2 linked regions of the Arabidopsis thaliana genome follow. The protein of the gene in region 2 interacts with the protein of the main gene of each other region in a pairwise test. Each region holds a gene or a part of one and is shown on either strand. Other genes may lie near its edges.

Evidence for each region.
Region 1: the proteins of AT5G66440 (region 2) and AT2G30020 interact in a protein complementation assay, tested with the Arabidopsis thaliana proteins (one large-scale study listed by BioGRID).

Annotation. Positions count from the first base shown.
Region 1 is NC_003071.7:12,812,193-12,816,904, reverse strand, and holds AT2G30020 (Protein phosphatase 2C family protein), read right to left. Parts: upstream 2,635-4,712; 5' UTR 2,469-2,634; coding exon 1,965-2,468; intron 1,688-1,964; coding exon 1,001-1,687; 3' UTR 545-1,000; downstream 1-544. UniProt on the Arabidopsis thaliana protein: Protein phosphatase that negatively regulates defense respones. Inactivates MPK4 and MPK6 MAP kinases involved in stress and defense signaling.
Region 2 is NC_003076.8:26,529,187-26,533,085, forward strand, and holds AT5G66440 (tRNA-methyltransferase non-catalytic subunit trm6MTase subunit), read right to left. Parts: upstream 1,991-3,899; 5' UTR 1,847-1,990; coding exon 1,088-1,846; 3' UTR 733-1,087; downstream 1-732.

The sequences.
Region 1 (4,712 bases), on a different chromosome or scaffold from region 2:
ATTTTTCTTATCCTTTTATCGGCTTATCCATGTCGGTAATCATTATCACCGCACATATTTGTTTTTGCTTGTTTCTTATATGTACATAAAATGTATATGTTCAATTTAATTTGCACATCATTTCACTCTTGTTAATATGTAATTCATCGAAAATTATGGTTCTTAATCCATGTCAACATTGTCACAATTAACAACATTGTTAGGATATATATGTCAACCACAGCCAAAATTCTAAGTGGTTTGTATTGGTCTCAATGTCTAACCAGACTGAATGTGAAAAACACGAAAATGAATAGATTTAACGAGATTTTAACTAGTAGACAAAATAAAAACATATCTTACGTTTGCATGAAAACAGATTGAGAATTTGAGATCCAAGACCAAAACTAATTAAACTACACATGTGAACAAATAATATATTTTGGGCTATTCGGGTTTGTGTCCGGCCCAATGGTTTATGTTAGCCTGTCAAACTTGAGGACTTTGTTTGTTTTTCTCCTTTTTCCTAAGAAAACTCTCTTTATGGTTGAACTTGTTTTCTCGATCAACTTCTCTTGTACCTTCGTTCCACTTTAAAACAATATTGGCCGTGTGACTCTTTGACCAGGATCACTTGTCATGTCGATTTCTTTCACGTTGCATCTCAATATGAACTTCATGTATGTTGGAGTTGTGAATTGAAATTCATCAAAACAAGGAATCTTTGATTCAGATTGAGTCAATCTCTTCCAAGCACTGTGTTGGTATTGTACTGTAGAGAAATTTGCAGGATCTTGAAACATATGACAAGATATATAACGAACCGATTATTAGATTAATTTCGGCCAATGCTCGAATCATACAAGTAATCATAAGCCACAATGAGTTTAGCTTTGTTCACTAAGTTAGAAAGAATAAATAAATGAATGGATCAAGTTAAACAAAAGAACTAAATCATATAAAACCTCCAAATTTCTAACGTTTATCATATATCTAAAATCTTCTAAGATGCCTCTCTTTTCTATATGAACTGGCGTAAAGGGATCAACATCACACTGATATCATCAGACGAGCCTCGTGAAGCAGATAAATCGACAAGCTTCTTACAGGCAGCTAACAACAATGGCTTCTCGGTTCCTAAGCAGAGAGGACGAGCAATGTCTACTGCTTCTTGGTTACTCACTTTATCCCATAAACCATCAGATGCCAAGATCAAAAACTCATGGTCATGCTCGATTCTCGAAATCTTTGTCTCTGGTTCAGCTATAACCCATTTCTTAAGTTGAGCATCTCCAATTCCTCTTGACACAGCTAAAGATCCCTGGATTCTCCAAACACCGTGAAACGTATCAACATATCCTCCCGTGGTTTCAATTCTTTTCCGTTCATCGTCTCTAGACGGGCGGTGATCAGAAGATAAAGCCTTAGCTACACCTCCTACACTCATAACAGCACGACAGTCACCGGCGTTAGACACAACAAGGTTCCCTTCGTTAACCAGAGCCGTGACACAGCATGAACCACCCTTAACGTCTTCCTCCTTAAGAAACGACGCGTCTGTTGCCAAGTAACCATGTTTCACCGCTTCAGCTATCTCAGACTCGTCTCTCTTACCAACTACTTCTTCTACAATGTTCTTATCTAAGTTCTTAGCTGCAAACTCAGCCGCTTTAACTCCTCCATGACCATCATAGACTCCGAAAATCGCCTGAGAAATTATCACAAAGCAAAACAACGTTTAGAATACACGATTCATCAATAAGCACACAATTGTTTCATATGATTCTGTAAAACTTCTAATTCTATTCAGAATTTCAATTTTCCCCAAAGAACCCTAATTTTAGATAGCTTATTAACCCAATCAATGTAGATCTCACATGATAAACCCTAATTTGAGCTGTAATTGCTAATCAATCGAATCAAAATCACCAATTCAATTCAATTCTAAACCAAAACTGAAAAATGAATTTGAAATTTAAAATTACCTGTTTACGATCTCCATGAAGATTGGTGATAGCAGAGAAACGATCCTCCATAGCTTCTCTTCTTCCTCTCTTACAATAAACAGAATAACCATCACCTTCTCTCTCAACCTCTCTACACTCCTCTCTCGGCGTCGCAGCCACAGCGGCCGATGAAGAAATCGGAGCTACAAATCCAGCAACACCAATCGGTATATCAAGCCTTGTAGGTCGTTTCCTCTTTAAAACACCTCCCGGAGGAGAGGATGCAGAAACAGATTCAGATCCAAAAGATAATGGACCAGGAGCGAATCCGGACGGAGGTTTCTGGAAACGGAGACGAAATGGAGATTTAGGAGAAGAAACGGTGGTGGATGGAGAGGAAGGAGAAGAGGTCTGAGGTTTGCGATGAGAAAGCGTTAGAGAAAGAGATTCTTGCGGTGACGAGAGAATCGAAGATTTGTTGCAGAATAGAGAAGACGACGGTGAAAACACCGGAGAATTACATACGGCGACGGAGCAAGACATCGTTTCTATATTTTGATTTCGATTTCGATGAGTAGAGATTTGTTTTTGCTGAGATTATTGTTTTTGTTTCTTCTCCTTCTGTTTTTTTTTTGTTGTGACGATGTACAGAGAGAGAAGAAGAAGGTTTTTAAATATAAAGGAAAGAAGAAGGTAATGAATATTGAATGAATTAGAGTCCGTGTTTATCGAGCTTTATTCAAAGTTTTTCAGTCTCTTTGACTTTGTAAATAACATTTATGCCCTTACAACTTTCATTTCCTTTATTTATGTTGTCCTTTTACTTTCTACAAAATGGATATTATTTTGAGGAAAACAAAATTAGCTTGAATCCTACTCTTGTTGACCAGTTTTTTTTTGTTGGCAAAATAAAGGAAAATATCATTTTTTCTTAATAATGAAAAATGTATATATCCATGAGATTTTTTATTCCAATATTTTTTCATAACCAAAATAAGAATCATTCAATTTTTGGTAACTTTATGTCAATTTAATAATAAAAACAAATTATGTCTAGTAGACTAGAACTATCATAAACAAAAAGAGGAGTATTGCAAATAAGAAGAAAGGCCCTTTGTAACGTAGAATAAAATTCAATAAAACACAGCAGATAGTACAAAAGAGAATGTTGGAGGGTAAAACGGTCATTCACAGTCTAAAATAGCTAAAACGATGAAGTAAGCGATTTATTGGGTTTGCTCTGTGAGGTTAAAACAGACATTTCAAATGAAGTCAAAAACACGTCTAAAAGGAAACGAATGCTAATAATTGGGCATGTGGGTAACGTATCTGTGTTAAAGAAGTGTTTCATTGATGACTCACTTTTTTTTTCTTCTCCTTTTTAAATTAAATGAAAAATAGAATCTTAAAGAATTTAAAACGACCGTTAGGTTCTATACGTCGTCGTTTTCATTGGATGAGTATTTTTGCTTGTCGTAGTCGCAGCTTCTAAGCAAGTGACCGTTGAGAGCCTGAAGAGGAGCCTTCGTTTTGTTTGTTTCCATTTGATGACCGTTGTGAATTTGTCAAAAAGTCTAATACATAAAGTTGTAATTGATCTCGTTTCACACGAGGTCTTCTTATTATTAAAATACAAGTCTTCTTCTTATTAAGAGAGTGTTAATTTTTTGAGTAATTTGTGACATCATTAACTGATAGTTTTGTCTTTTAAACGGTATTTGATATTCTAGAGTTGAAAAGGAATTGCAATGTTCTAGAGTTGAAGAAAAATCCATTAGAAAGTTTTTGTTAATGTTGTGAATTGTGATAGGGATGAATAGTAAACAAAGAAAAATCAGTTTTTGCAATATTATAAGACCAAAATTTCCTTATTAATAAGTATTTGCATATGATAAGACCAAAAATTTTACGTCTTATTATATTGTCATGCGATTAATGTTCCACTATTAAGCACTTTTAGAGAATGTTTTTCCGTTTGAGGCAGTTTATAGGAAATAGACACTTTTTCTATTAATTCTTTTTTTTTAAAGACTTTTTTACCCTCAATTCAATATTTATGTTTTTAATTCTTAATTTCTCTTTTTTGTTATTCCTCTTCCACGATCCTTACCCAAAATAAATAAAATCTCTCTCTCTCTCTCTCCATGATTTGTAGCGCCTCTCTCTCTCTCTCTCCACGTCTCCATAACTTTTGGAGAAGTTTCTTAAACAATTTGATCTCGATTATCTCAGGAATTTGGTAAAAGTTCTATGTCCATAAGGTATTGGAGGTGGGGTCTCTGCAAATTGTAAGAAAAATCAACAAACAATTTTTTGGTGTCCATAATAACGAGTCCATTTAAATATATCCATTCAGAAAACCTTTTACTGATTCATATTCATTCTATATACCATGTCCATATAACAGGAGATTCGATTAACCGTGGTTTGTAAAGAAACCAAAGTTCCATGTCCATAAGGTCTTGGAAGTGGAGGTCTCTTCAAACTGAAAGAAAAATCAACAAACAATGTTTTGGTGTCCATAATAACGAATCCATTTAAATATATCCATTCAAAAACCTTTCTACTTATCTATATTCATTCTATATACCATGTCAATAATAACAGGAGATTCGATTAACCGTGTTTTGTAAAGAAACCAAAGTTCCATGTCCATAAGGTTTTGAAGGTAGAGGTCTCTGCAAACCGAAAGAAAAATCAACAAACAATGGTTTGGTGTCCATAATAACGAGTCCATTTAAATATATCCATTCGGAAACCTTTTTACTGTTCTATATCCATTTTGTA
Region 2 (3,899 bases):
GATCATTGAGATGACTGACTTACTAGACCATCAATCATTCCCGTGAAGCATTAGAAATGAAGCTTCCTTCAATTTTAAAATAATGGTACAAAATCAAGCATTCTCTTTCCAATTGTCTCCAATCCCATTATAAACATTCACTATTAATCAATTTCATTTACATAATATTTCTTTTTTTAAAAAAAATTATGTAACCACACCATGTGTATTGGTGTGTGCATGTGTCTACCTACGGTCTACTTCGGATTTGAATTTGATACACGCTTATAATTTATTATTCTTCTGGATATTGCATCTAATCTATAGATTTAATGTACAAATCTCCACGCTTGAAATCCATGAGTCTGACTGAGTACATTCTTGCATAGTTAATTATTGCAGGCATGAGACTTAGTCGGTGTAAAAGTCCAAAACGCCATTATGAGCGAAACTGAAGAAAGATGACTAGATTAAGTCTTTTTTGTATATAAGGATTTTGTCATCTACCAAATAGAAAGATACAGTAAATACTAAATAGGCATACAAAATATAATTGACAAAGTGATTGGCTCGTGTTTAGTTAAGAAGCTTGAAACCAAATTTCCGAAGGATGTAGGGATTCTAGGGTTTGGAACATCCTAGGTTAAAGTCTGGATTGCCTTCTGGAAATTGTAGGTAGCTCTAGTATTAGTTTATTAATGCTATTGATTTTTACTTTTTTATAAAAGTAACCGGAAGATCTCATGGCAAGAGAAAAAGACAGACCCAAATCGATTGTTTCTTGGATATCACTAAAGCTTATTAAAAAGGTTTTTTTGGTAATGTCATAATTTTGAGTGTGGCGAGACAACATTTCTACTCTAAGTCTGTATCATTAAAACTGAGGAAGTGACACTCACTTGAGACAAGTAGATTACATATCTTTCTTAATACATAAGCAACTAAAATTACTGTACATAGAGATGATATTTATACTACATACATGGAATATTTTTATAAAAAAACAAGATTCCATAATGGTTAACTTTCACAAAACTTTGTTTGTTTGTTGTTTGATTCGATTTATATTAGAATTTGATGCTTTTTTGATATAGATATAAAAAGATATTTAGGCTATGTTATGGACAACGACGGCTAAAGATTCTTGACGACGAAACATCCTCTGTTTTGCTATGAAAGCTTCTATCGTTTTCTGAAACTCTTCGTTGCTCAGATCATCCTCTGGATAGTTCTTCTCCTCCTCAGAGTCATCATCGTTCTCAGTTTCTTTGCAGAACTTCTCTGTCTCCGATCTCTGAAGAGAACGTTTCATCATCATCATCACCATGTTTGAACTCTGTTTTCCAGACACGTCTGATTTGCTTCTTCCATAGACCTTACTATGGGGACTCGAATCTGAGTCAATCTCGACGTGAGGCATATTCTCATCCACCGTTAGATTCGGATTTGAATCCAAATCAGTAACGATCACCTGTTTGTCGTCGTAGACAATCCCCTCCGTCAAATCTTCATCGGACGGTTTGGAACGATTCTCTACAGATCTGACGAACGCCTGGTAGATTTCGGTTTCTGCGCTTGCGACGGCGGTGGTTGTCTGATCGGAAGACTTGGTGAGAAGAACAACGACGATGGAGTTCCCGAGGAGGAAAACGAACAGAGGAGTAGATATGACGGCGGCGATACGGCGGAGAAACGCTCCGGAGATTTGAACGACGAAAGGAAGTTGCGAAAATGTCCAAAAGATGAAGAGTAGAGCGACGCAAACCTCCGCCGCACGGAAGAAACGGCCAATTCTACAGAAGCGGTTGAAACGCCGCAACGCCTTGGCTTTCTCTGCTTTCACGTTATCGAAATCAAACGAATCCATTGCGATTTGCGAGTGCAAGAACAGAGAGAAAGAGAAAGATTGAGAAAAGAAGAAGAAGAAAAAGTGGAGCAAGCTTCGTCTCTCGCATCTATCTTTTATAGACACACTCCACTCCTAAACCAGACTCACTTTTTTTTTTTTTTTCCTTCAAATAATTGAACTTTTTCTTTTATTTATGGTTAATATATCTAAGTTAGATATACATATTCCATTTATTATTCCTCATGTAGACACCACTTGTGCCCCTGCTATATTATATATTATATCCATTTCAATATTCCAAAATAAATTCAAAATTAGCAGTAATTTACTAATTTTTGTAAAGTTTAGTGTAATTTTTTTATGTAATCAAATCAATAGAATAAAATTCAAAAAAGTCAATTAAATTTTGCAAGGGTATAGTAGCATATCATTTTTTAAACTTTGTGTAAAAAGTATCAAAACCATTTTTACCAAAACAAAGTAGCATGAACCATACTTGTATACAAATGGAGTATAGCTGAACAATACTCTTCTATAATTTAAGGAAACAAATTTGATATAGTTTGTTGTTTGTTTGGGTCAATTTTGTCAGTGAGCTCATTATATATTTATTTGGGTGATACCTTAATACCAGTTTAGTAGTTTTTATCCAGATTTAGATAGACGAGTAATTGCTAATCAAACATTGCATAAGCGAATGAGTACTCCATTTCAAACAGAATCTGTAGACTTTGTTTGCTATAGAAATTTAAAGTTAGACTGATTCACAAGTTTCAACAACTCGTTATTATTATACAGCTGTTTTATCAAATAAATAAAATTGTAAAAAAAAAAACCAAAAATATTTGGACCGAGCAAAATTGTAAAAAAAAAGTGATGTAACAGAGAATCAATTTTTATTTATATTTTTGTTCTTTCACGTGAGACGTATGGGATCCGTATAACCACCGCTCTTCGAGTGTACCACTTCGTATTTGCTTAACTCTCTCTGTTTCATTCTCGTGCATTTCACCGTTTATATTTTCTTACTTTTTCTTACTGTAATTAATGCAAACTCTTTTTATCCAATTAACCGAAACTATAAGCCTATATCTTAATATTTGACATCCCTAATTTATTTTTCATAACAATAATGATAAATGAGCGGGTGGAAATTATGGTTTATTAACAACATACACTCTAATTATAATTCTCGACAAAGAAACAATATTAACTACTTAATTATAAGATGTATTCAATGAGGAGTAATATGGGTCGGTGTCTTGGTGGGTGTGGGTCATCAGACATTTGACTGGATCGGAGAAAAACACAAAAATTAGAGTTCAACGCGACGTTACAACTATGAAACTTAATTGAGAAATTGACAAAAACAAAACTGGAGTTATAAAACCTGACCCTTATATTATTATAACATGAAACAGATTAAGTTTTTTTTTTATATATATTTTTGATTTCTTCTTATGATTGTTGTAACGTGAATAGATAAGTTATAATAAAAATGTGAATAAATTAAGATTTCTTTTATGATTGTTGAAATGAATGGCAAGTGAGACACTCACACTACTTGTTGACTCTCTCATTCATTCCCTTTTCGACTAAATAACGATATCTCGGCCGGACTGATTATATATATAAAGTAAATAAAAATTATTGAATCCAACCAAAAAATAAATAAATTATTGAATGGACAATAGTTTTCTTATAAAGATACTCGTGGCCAAAAGATCATGACAAAGAATTTCGAATGGTGTTAATTAGTACTAGTAGTCAATTCGACAAAGTTATAAGAAAAAGAGGGTTAATTAATCGATAATACAGGCTGGTTCGACCCATGCATAACATATCATATTTCCTCTGCTTCCTTTATAAATTGTTCTCTTTAAAACTATGCGCATGTAATACCATTCTTAAGCATCATTCTTATATCCGCAGACGCATACCTGCACGCATGCGTAGATTTGTACGTATTAGTATCAATTAAAAGTTATGACCATAAATATCTTGGTATTCAATTTATGTATACACTAATAACTTGGTAAAAGTGTTGTACTAGATATGATAGGAGGAGACT